Linked DNA regions of Coturnix japonica. The protein of the gene in region 3 purifies or fractionates together with the protein of the main gene of each other region. This does not show direct contact. Links are inferred from orthologs where the notes say so. Each region holds a gene or a part of one and is shown on either strand. Other genes may lie near its edges.

What was found.
Region 1: the proteins of MYO6 (region 3) and ARHGEF12 purify together in Homo sapiens (affinity purification with mass spectrometry; 4 studies listed by BioGRID and IntAct, counting the BioPlex papers as one, with this or other methods). This does not show direct contact. The link is inferred for Coturnix japonica from reciprocal best matches to the Homo sapiens genes MYO6 and ARHGEF12.
Region 2: the proteins of MYO6 (region 3) and LRCH3 purify together in Homo sapiens (co-immunoprecipitation; 3 studies listed by BioGRID and IntAct, with this or other methods). This does not show direct contact. The link is inferred for Coturnix japonica from reciprocal best matches to the Homo sapiens genes MYO6 and LRCH3.

What each region holds. Positions count from the first base shown.
Region 1 is NC_029539.1:3,152,172-3,155,822, forward strand, and holds part of ARHGEF12 (rho guanine nucleotide exchange factor 12), read right to left. Parts: intron 3,613-3,651; coding exon 3,577-3,612; intron 3,175-3,576; coding exon 3,020-3,174; intron 2,872-3,019; coding exon 2,725-2,871; intron 1,958-2,724; coding exon 1,872-1,957; intron 244-1,871; coding exon 118-243; intron 1-117. UniProt on the Homo sapiens protein: May play a role in the regulation of RhoA GTPase by guanine nucleotide-binding alpha-12 (GNA12) and alpha-13 (GNA13). Acts as guanine nucleotide exchange factor (GEF) for RhoA GTPase and may act as GTPase-activating protein (GAP) for GNA12 and GNA13.
Region 2 is NC_029524.1:13,130,191-13,133,841, reverse strand, and holds part of LRCH3 (DISP complex protein LRCH3), read right to left. Parts: intron 2,204-3,651; coding exon 2,059-2,203; intron 1,110-2,058; coding exon 983-1,109; intron 647-982; coding exon 541-646; intron 366-540; coding exon 229-365; intron 1-228. UniProt on the Homo sapiens protein: As part of the DISP complex, may regulate the association of septins with actin and thereby regulate the actin cytoskeleton.
Region 3 is NC_029518.1:73,396,442-73,400,092, forward strand, and holds part of MYO6 (unconventional myosin-VI), read right to left. Parts: intron 3,619-3,651; coding exon 3,468-3,618; intron 2,606-3,467; coding exon 2,397-2,605; intron 2,008-2,396; coding exon 1,929-2,007; intron 1-1,928. UniProt on the Homo sapiens protein: Myosins are actin-based motor molecules with ATPase activity. Unconventional myosins serve in intracellular movements. Myosin 6 is a reverse-direction motor protein that moves towards the minus-end of actin filaments.

The DNA.
Region 1 (3,651 bases), on a different chromosome or scaffold from region 3:
GCATTGTGTATCGTAATCTGAAGACAATGCGAAGTGCAATCTCATTAACTGTAACAACTTAATCTAAAGCCCTTCACTATCCCACACCAGCAGCTCAAAGCCATGCATAAAATTCACCTGCACAAAAGTCTGGAAACGAGAGTCCTTCTTCTGACGGGACTTTATGACCTCTAGAGCAAAGGGCTGGTTACTGCAGAACGTGGCAGTGGCGTGTTTCAGCTTCTCCTCTGCTGCTCCACTGAACTGTGCCAGAAAGTCATGAAAGTCAAAATTAGACAGACCCAACTTCAGCATGAGCTGCTGTTAACAGATATAAAGCCACTAGCACCGCTGGTCTCAGAAAGGAAGGGAGGAATAGTAGCAAAAAGGAGGAAGAGGGGAGACCTACAATGGTCATCAAATCATGTCATTGATGGCATTATCCAAATACCCCTTTAATGCAGACAGCCTGGGGATATCAACCACCTTGGTAGGAAGCCTAATGCCCGGCCTGAACCTCCCATGGCACAGCTTCCTGCCATTCATTTGTGTTTTATATCTAAGAAGTTGCTTCCATGGAATACAGTATCTTAAACATTCTGTTTTTAAGTCTTTGTTCGTCCAGCCTATTTAGAAGCCCTGCTATGTGTAAAACCCTACAGCTCTTCTGCCACCACTCCCAGCATTCCCAGTTCCCTCTACAAATGCACTGCAGATTCAGGGAGATAATACAGCCACTCGCTATAGGCTGTAAGAGAAGTGCAAAAACAGCATTTGGATGAATGATCAGTGATTATTTACCAGACTCTGGGCAGCAAAGCCAAGACCAAAGGGGCTGCTCCCTCCAGGATTAGCCATGCTTAAGGACAAGAATATAACATAGAAACACAGAAACATGGCTGGGGAAAACAACAGCCTTGAGCAGAGCTGAGAAATGTGCCGCAGATGACAGACAGATCCACTGTCACTGCAACTCTTCCCCATCCCTACTGCCCAATTGGCAATGCAGCAAAACCAACTGCTGAAAATACTCACTCTGGAGAATGAGATTTTAGTTTAATATTTGTGTTTTAGCCACTTAACCAGCCACCAGTCAGGGACATGTAACGATCACACTTGTAATGTCTAGCTTGCTTTAGCTTGTTCAAAAACGAATGCACAAGCTATTTTTCGCTCTTCACAACACACAGGGGAGAACTAGAAGAGGATTTTTCACTACCAGCCACATCTGATTTTCATTTTCCTCCCTTTTTTTTCTGGGATACTAAGAAATGGCAGGATTACAAAAATATAAATCACAAGAGACTTCCGCATGAACGCCTGAAAAGAAGAAGCAGATCAATCTTCAATCCCATATTAAGCAGGCTTGAAAACAAACAACACAACAGGAGACTCCCAGGAGAGGCTAAAGAAAAAAAGCCAAAGAGATTTTCACTCCTGCTCCCATCAGTTGGATCTCAAATTTGAAACAAAGCCTGCAAATAGCGCTATCAGTTTGAAGAGACTCAGCTATGCAAATTCTATAACTGGAAATCATGATTTTCGAATATCTTTAACTGTATCAAAAGTGATGCGAGGCTTGTTTCAATATTAGCGCAGTAAATTGAGCTATTACATCCTGCTCTCGTTTTACACCTTCAAAGCTATGTTTCTATTTTACCAATGCATCAAAAGGAACGTTTTCTTCTTCTTTTCTAGACCTCTTGTCAAATGAAAACCCTTTGAGCTGCCTCCGCTTTTCTCTAAACCTCTTCCCCTACCTCTTTGTTGGCTCCACACAAATAACAGCTCTCAGACCTTCAGTTCCCATTAGCTGGGAATTACCTTCATTAACCCCTGACACTATTGGCCATTTTCTGAAACATGTTTTCGAGAAGAAAAATGGAATTTACCCAAGAAAGCAAATCCTCCCCAATTTGGTCAATAACAGAAGTCTCATTCCTTTTCCGGACCGCTTTCATCTGATCATTCAATGCAACTTAGAAACAAAGAAAAAAAAAAAAAGAACATTTTATTAATACAGGTTCTGTGCTTCATTTTCCTTACTTTCAGTTTCTTTTAAAGTAAAACTTCTAAGAAAAGACCAAACTTGCAATGATTTCAATTACATTTAAAAAAGTGTCCTGTGATGCAATGAATTCAGTAGAATATCTAAGAAAATGTCATATCCCTCCTTTGCACTTCTGGCTCTCCTGCCTTTAACTGACCTGCAAGAATCTTTCCAGTCTCGTCTTATATGAGGCTCAACCTCACTGACCTTTTAAAAACCCACGGCTCATTCAGAACACGCTTCAAACCACCTGCCTACAAATTACCACTGATTATTCATTGACAGAGCCAGAAATGTGATTCTGAACAGTCCTTTCTGTAAACAATTAGAAACAGTGACCCTTCAAAACCACCTGCAAGACATCAATCCTTCCATGGCTTTTTCATGTTTTCCTCATCGACGGCTGTAACTTTCTGAACATTACCCTACAAAGGCTATTCATCAAAGCACTGCTGTTTTTGACAAACATGAATGAGCACAACAGTCTGTGTACACTGATGAGCTGAACTACTGAGCACATGTGCTCTTCAAAGTATCTTTGCAAATCAGAAAGGGGAAGACTGTGTGTGGAAAGGGGAAGTGCTGCATGAGGCTGCTTCTTGTTTCAGGATACCTGTGTCAATTTTTCCTCAGATATTTGTACCCTGAATTCCAGCTCAGATTGTGAAGCCAAGAAGCACCTCAGCCACTCTTACCATGAAGCCCCAGGATATCCTCCAGGTTTGAAAAGATCTTCTTTTTATCACTGGAGTTGAGGATCCCTTCCCGGGTGACACGCTGGTAGAAAACGTTATGCAGAACCTTCAGGGTGCGGACGTGAGCTCTCTCAGTGTAAAACAACTCTGAAGAGAGAAAGGCAGGATTATAGCCACTGACTTAAAGAAGTGTGACAATATAGGCTCAAATATGAACTAAATACAAGTCAGAAGTATGAACTTGCAAACACATGCAGGACTAGATTTCAACTTTCTGTTTGGTACTGCATCTCACCATTAATCACTTCTTGCCTCTTGATCTCATAAGGTTTCAGCCCCATCAGCACTTCTCGGCTCACAAGCTGCTGCCAGTTGGGAGGGTCTGTGTCCATATCAAAGTCATACAGCTCATCTTCACTTTGTACATCTGCAAAACCAACGCTGTCCACCCTAAGGAGAAAAAATATGCTGCATCACTCCCACTTTAGGCATGGATACAAGGAAGAAAGAAGAATCAAAGTACACATAGCAGTTGTAAAGCATTACACAAATACGCTCTCCAATAAGCTGTTAGATGTCTGAAGCCACAAGAATGTTAAGCCCTTCACAGAACAACTAAGTGAATATCTGTTCTTGCAGTATTTTCATAAATCTCCTTCTAACATTAGGGCTTATCAAAGGGTTTATCTGCATACTACCTGCTCCACCTGTCCCATGCACAGGTGTTCCATTTCATCCACGTGTTACTTAAGAACACTGGCTCAGAACAATGAACACTGCTGCATTCTACTTCATAACCAACTAAAATGTCAATCAAATCAGTGAAGTTCAAACAGTTTTAAACACACTTACTTGCGAAAAGGCTTTGGTGTCCCCATGTCGACCACTCTGCAAAGAAAGAAAGGAGGTATGAGGGAACCACAGCTT
Region 2 (3,651 bases), on a different chromosome or scaffold from region 3:
TAGCACAGTGCTAACAGGGGAATTTTTCATATAAAGCCACAAGTGAGACTAATGCGATAAATAAAAGAAAAATGGATTTTTCCAGCCGGGCTGAATGTTTGACACTTTCAGAAAAGAAGTTATTTGAAGCGCTCTTGCTCTTAAGTAAAGGTTCTAACACAATCCTTCAGCTTTTTGTTCCACCCTTTTTAATTGAACTAGTCATCTGATTCCCCAGCCGCAGTTTACCTGTGCAGGGGGTGACTGGAGAGGGTTGTTCTCTAACATGATGGTTTGCAGATGTCTGAGGTTCCTATAACAAACTGGGATTGTTGTTATTTTATTGCAGGAGAAATCTAATCGAATCAAAGGCAGCTCAGCGAGCTCTGGAAGTAGAAAATAAGTATTTAATTTAGCAGATTCAGAAGTACATAAAATTCCATGCATCTATTTTACGAATAATTAAATGTATCTGCTACTGGTACTCACAGGAATAAAAAGACATTAAAATACAGAAGTGCTTCAAGTTTCAGCTGCTACAGCTGACAGTCTTAATCTCACCTTCAGGTAAATGCACCAAATGATTTCTTCTGACATTTAGGTCCCGTAAGGATTCCAAATTGCCGATCTGTGGAGGTATTGTCTGTATTTCATTACAGCTCACATCCTACAAAGCACGAGTAAAGAGTTAGTGCCCTCTGCACTGACATAGCAGGAGATACTAAGGCAGAGACAAACCCTTTTTAGGCCAAAAGCAGATTTAAGTCGCTACTGCACACAAGTGACTGGTTTACCATCACAAAGTTCTCAGCAGAATGAGAAACAGAATATTCATCATGCACATCCCCAGAGAGCATCTTAATGACTGAGCAGTTTTCATCAGCTTATCTGAAGCACATCTGAACCTCTTAAACATATCAAATTAAATTGATTTAATTAACTTAATTAAATCCCTTAAATTAAAGATTAAGTAGTGATAGTTAAAAAATAACTGTATACTCACGAGCTCTGTCAGCTGTCTGAGCTGTCCAATTTCTTCAGGTATGGAGACCAGCTTATTATTACTCGCTATCAGAACCTTTAGTGGTAGACTACAGAGGTGTACTGGCAACGTTGAAAGTTGGTTTCGACTTTTTGGACAGAAAGAAAACCAGATCATCAGAACTGCCATGAGAAGCCACCTCTCGTCTTAACACACAAAAAGCACACACTGTTTTGTTTATCAACTCAGTTTCTGTATAATTATTGTAAAATGAGTTGCATAAAGTCTTCACATTTCCTTGAAGCAGCATTGCTTTATCCAGCTGTGGCTGAGCACGCTCTGAATATCAAGTACCAAGTGTGTCTTGATGCTTTTGAACTTGGTGTTGGGGAACACAACATTTCTGGGACCTTTTAGGTGCTGCTGAAAACTTGCCACCCAAAAGCCAGCAAAGAGGCAGCACTGCAGGTGAGTGTATAATAAACGCCACAGATAAAGTCACTTAGACACTTGATTAGAAATATACTTGAAATATTCAGCACATCACATGGATCGAGAATCTTGGTACGATGAATTTGGCTGCTCCAAAATCCAATCTGTACCTTTCACAACACACTACTATTAAAGCAAATAGGGGGTCATATGATGAGACTGTGACCTCAGATGAGAATCACGCAGGATAAGAATGATTTTAAAAGGGAAAAAAGACTCTCCTTCAAAACAAAACGCAGCACAGAGCTATTGCATTCCATCAGCATTCAGGTACCCAGATCTGAATTTCATGGCCTATCCAACAATATTCTTTCAGTTCACATACCTGTATTTCCCATGGACCTCACTGGAACTTCCTCTGTAAGTACCTTATACTGGAATTAGCTTCCTTCTTCATACTTCACTTCTACAAGCTCCAGCTTAATCCCTATATTCCCTAATCCACCCCCCCAAAGGAGGGTGAGGCTGGTTCAGGCTGCTTTGTTTCAAATGCATACAGTATAACAATGCGATAATGACACACCATGTCTATTATTTATGGGAGCACTCAAACTTGTCAGCTTAGAGTAGTGATGCTGAAGCAAAAATTTTAAGGCAGTTGTTACCTGATATTTAGAAACGTTAAAGACTGTAAGTTCAAAACAGCCTCTGGGATGTATCGAATGCAGTTCTGGTACAAATTAAGGCTCTCGAGGGAAACGAAGTGACATGCTTCTGCTGGAAGCTCCGACAGTCTGTTCCGTGACAAATCTGAAGGGGAAGAAAAAAGACCCTTTCTGAGAAGTTATCTTCAACTTCCCAAGGGCAAGTATTACCTGCCCTTATCCGTCACATCATGGCAAGCACTGGACAGGATTCCATTCTGCCATCCTGCCTGCACAATTTTCAAGATTATGAAGGGATTTTCATTTCACAAGGGAAATAAATCAACATATTTCAAAATCTGATAGTGACAATGAGAGAGGCAGATGCAACATTCCTTTCATAGCCACGCTTTCACATCCCAAACTGCCTGAAGCTTAAGGGAGGTAGTTTACGACACTGAGAGACCAGCTTCAGATCCCTGTTCCAGGATACATTATGGATTTACAGATCTTCTATATTGTATAGATCATTATGGATTTACAGATCTTCTATAGCGTATATCCTCTGTACAGAGTGAGTGATGCTGCAATGAAAAACAAACCAAAACGAGGTTTCAACCAGAGACCACAAGTACTCTTCTCCCAGCCTCCTGTTAGGTACCCTGTTGCATTCTGTTAGGTACCCCATTGCATTGAAATCTCAGCTTCTAATCTAGTCTAGAATACACAAGGCAGTGTAACGACTCCACCAAGGAAATGCAGAGCATGCAGCACCATCACACCCTGTGTTCCATGGAGAGGGCATTCCTGCTTCACACAGATCCCAGCAGAACCCTGCCACCCAACCACGCAATGCAAGGATTTCAATCCCCTGCAAGCAGCAAGATTTGCTATTTCTTTGTGATCCAACATTTCCTGCTGGGCAGGAGAAAAACTTTAATCAAAACTACCATTAAATGTGGTAGTTTTCTGGCAGAGAAGGCACAAAGAAATGCACTGCACCGCTTTGGAAAAGGTTTAACCACAAACATGATAAATCTCTGTAGCTTTTGCTTTCACTTTATCATACCAAAGAATGTTTGAGACAGAGTGTTTACACGCTGGTCTGCTGTCCAGACTCCCACAGCTGGACACTAACCATGAGTCAGTATTTCTAAAGAAATGACTCCCTACAAAATAAGACACCAAAGCCATCAGCAGCAATGACTGAGCTCTGCCAGCCTCCCCTCAATCTACAGCACAGATGAAATCAGAGCTGAGTTTTGAGGCAGCGATGCAGTCACATTCACTCAAATTGGGTCCGACCTATTACGAGTCTGGCTGGTAACTGCAGCATTTTTACTCACACCACACTCACAACATCTTCCAAGGGTTAAAGCAACCATTAACAGAAATCTGCTTTAAAAAAAAACAACAACCTCTCCTAGCCTGCTAAAAAAGGATGTGTTTCCTTGAAGGCAACGTCAGGAGGAATTTTGGCAAAGGGGGAACATTCTTTGGAACGAAGCTCTTAGTGAGAGATGAGAAAGAAGACGGCCATAGCAGCAGCTGGGGATGGTGGGCTCTGTGCTGAGTCCAGCTGCAGGTGTGTGGCTGCAGTGATGGATGCAGTGG
Region 3 (3,651 bases):
CCCGTTTTCCTCTACCACAAGCGCACTGCAGCTAAGGCCTAGTTAAAAGGTTACTCTTCTACAATAAGCACAGGCTTCCTCTCTTGAAAAGTCTGCACTAGAAACTAAGCAGTATTAAGCTGCTTGAAGGCTTTCAATTTAAAAAAAATATCCCTATTTTTTAAGGTATTGATGATTACTCCTGTCCTAAGTAACAAGAATGTAGCATATGATGTACCACAACCTTAATGCATGTCACTACACAATGCCATTGTGAACAGAAAACAAATGAATAACAAGTGGCAAACAAAACAAATTCAGTTTTAGCACTAACTACCCAAAATAGAAATCAAAGAGTGATCTCTAAATGGTGAGGTTAAAGAACGTTGCTAACACCTCTTCTTCCTGAAATTTCTCCCTCTATCTACCAAATCAACTCATTATAGCTACTTAACTTCCATCAGGAATCTAGCATGTTCCCAATCCACAAACATTCTCCTTCATATATTGTCTTCTTGACGATGAATCCACTATCCTGCTTGACAAACTTAACTGAAGTTATGCAGTACATCCACAGCTCTCTTATTTTCAGCTCTGGGCTCTCTAACACTGCACTCACGTTCTGTGACGTGCTGGCAATGCTCTTTCCCCCTCACACAGCCCAGGATGCCATTGGCCTTGTTTGTTGAAAAAGCCCCTATGTTCACCATAACCACAAGGCCTCCTCTGCAGAGATGCTTAACCAGGTTCCTCCAGCATGAGTCTATGAATAGGGTTATTCCTTCCCCAGAGATAGGGATTTTTTTTTCTTTTTAATATCCCTTTGTTGAACTTTATGATATTCTGGTCAACTAATTTCTCTAGCCTCTTTATCATAATCTCTCTGAATAGTAGCACATCCATCTGGCCTACAGAACAGTTTTTTATCATCTGCAAACTTGCTAATAGTGCAGCCAGTTTCATCATCCAGATCATTAATAAAAACATTACACAGTATTGGCCCCAGCATTTATCCTTAGAGTACAGCTTAAATGACTGGCCGCCAGCTGGCCATCATGACCTTTGAGCCATTTTTCAATCCACCTCATTGTCCACTTACCTAGCTCATACACCATCTGTTTTTTCTATGAAGACATTTGTAAGAACAGTGTTAAAAGCCCTGCTAAATTTGAGTTAAGTAACATTTGCTGCTCTCCCATTATTCACCAAGCCAATCACCTCATCAGATGAGGCTATTGGATCAGTCAGGCAGGACTTCCCCTTCATAAATCCACACTGACTACTCTCAACCACTTTCTCGACCTTCACTATTTCAGAAAGGCTTCCAGAATTATTTGCTCCCATGCCTTCCCAGCAATTGAGGTAAGGCTGATGGTTTCCCAAATTCTCGTCGTTGCTCTTCTTAAGACTGGAGTAGCACGTGCCATCTTCCAGAACTCAGCACCTTCCCTGACTGCCATGACCCTTCAAAGATCATCAAAAGTAGCTCTGAAGTGACACTGGTTGTAAGATGCCAAACAAATTTTTCACACATCTTATTCTGCTCTCTATTCCCATTCAACCATGTCAGCAAACACTACCAAAAGAATTTTAGTAAACTTTTAAATATTATCCTTTTAACCCTCTCTTATGTCTCAAGGAAAATGTAAGTGCTTAATACAAACAATTCCCCAGCAGAATCTTCTTGATGGGTTTCATTCACATGTATATTCTTTCTTATCTGAAAACTGAATTTAGATTATGCATTCTTCCTCTTGTAGTTATAATTCAGTTATAGCACTACTTCTACACAGATTGTATTAGGTGAACCAAATGCAACACTGCTGTATAATTTGGAAACCTACTCACAAAATAATGCCATTAGACTCAGTGGAAATTGTAAGCCGAAAAAAAAATAAAAACAAAAAAGAAACAAAAATGAATCTACAAAACCATAGCTAAAACATTACCTGAATACGCTTTTCTTCATCTTCCCTCTTTTTCCTTTCTTCTTCTTCCTGTTTTCTCTTTGCCTCAATCTCAGATTTTCTATCAGACAAGAGAAAGAGGAAATCAAAACTTTTAATAAGTTACTAAAATAATGCAAGCAAACAAGTAATACCAAAGCATTCTCCATAAAATTAAATGACAATCCAAGGGACTGTAGAGTTATGACATAAGCCGTATTTAAAGTCAAGGACTTTTGAAAGTCTGTCTGTATCATGAGCTGCATCATAAAATCTTTTAAATACTCTATCCTGACTACACTTAACATTAAAATTGTTTGGAAAAGAGAAGAAATATTTTAACAATGAATAGGACACCACAAGCACAATTCAAGCAACTCTCTTTAAGCACAGTAATAATAAAAATAACCTAATTGAGGGCTTTTCCTATTTTCTTCTTATTCTAAAGCCAGCAACTTATTCAAGACTCACAGACGCCTTTCTTCTTCTTCCTTCCTTCGCCGTTGCTCTTCCTCCTCACGTCTCTTTCTTTCTTTTTCCATTTCCTCCTGGATGCGTCGTAACCTCTCTGCTTCTTCCTCTTGCTGTTTTTTCTTTTGCAGTGCACTCAAAAGCTGCTCTGAGCTTCTAACTAAAGCATCATATTCTTTCATTATCTGTTCTCTAGTCATCATTGTGGTCTGCAAAATTATAATAACAAGAGAGGGATAATATTCCTTTGCATTTGTAATTCACTTTAAAAGATGTGTATTTTAAAAAATACATTTGAAAAATGAAAAGCTTTGAGTGTTGCAATTAAGTTATACATATACTGCATGGTCAGAGAACTTAAACAGATCCCTCCTTCCATCCTAAAATATTGCAGTTGCACTGCTCTCCTTATACAAAACGGCAGAAAAAACAGTCTCCATTTTATCACTGAAAACAGTCATGAATTTTCTTCGAAACATGAATTAATTTCTGAAACCTTGCCATTCCGTATCAGAAATTAATTTTTACTATCCTGAGATGAAAACTAATAACCTCATACTTTTCTGATGTGTTCTTAGTGGATATTTACCACTGTCTTTTATGTCACACTACAAAATAAATTTAATAACTCTTTCTATGGACCACATTCTGACTAGTGGATTTAAGAAAAAAAGTTACTGATAATCAATGTGTCATAAATAAATAAATAAAATTAAAGCTGTTGCCTTCACTACATGTTTTCAAATTTCACTGACAGCTACAGTCCAATTTCACCTTACACACGGATGCATACTAATAAAGCTGTGACATGGGATGTTTTCTGACCATTTTAAGGATATATCATGACGATAACCAAGTTGTCTAAATTTTATTAGGAAAAAGAAGTATAAGTTGTCAGGTTTACTTCAGTAATATTCACAAACAATTTAAACAAGATGTAGTAGTGTTCACTCACTCTGAAAACAAATTATATTTCTATATTTAAATGTCTTTCCTATAAAAAAAATTAAGTACTTTGACATTTTAAATTAAGTTCTCAGAAGATTTCTATTTTTCTGATTAATATCATACCTTAATTTTGGTCATTGAAGCATCGATTGAATGCTCCAGCTCCTTGATCTGCTTGCTTGTCTCTGCCTTCCCCTCCTTCAGAGCGCTTACTACTTCATTAAACTTATCAAGTCTCTTTTTCAGGGTACGGACCTTTATCAGACCATCAATGCTGTAAACGTAAGGCAGTTTATATGAGATGTTT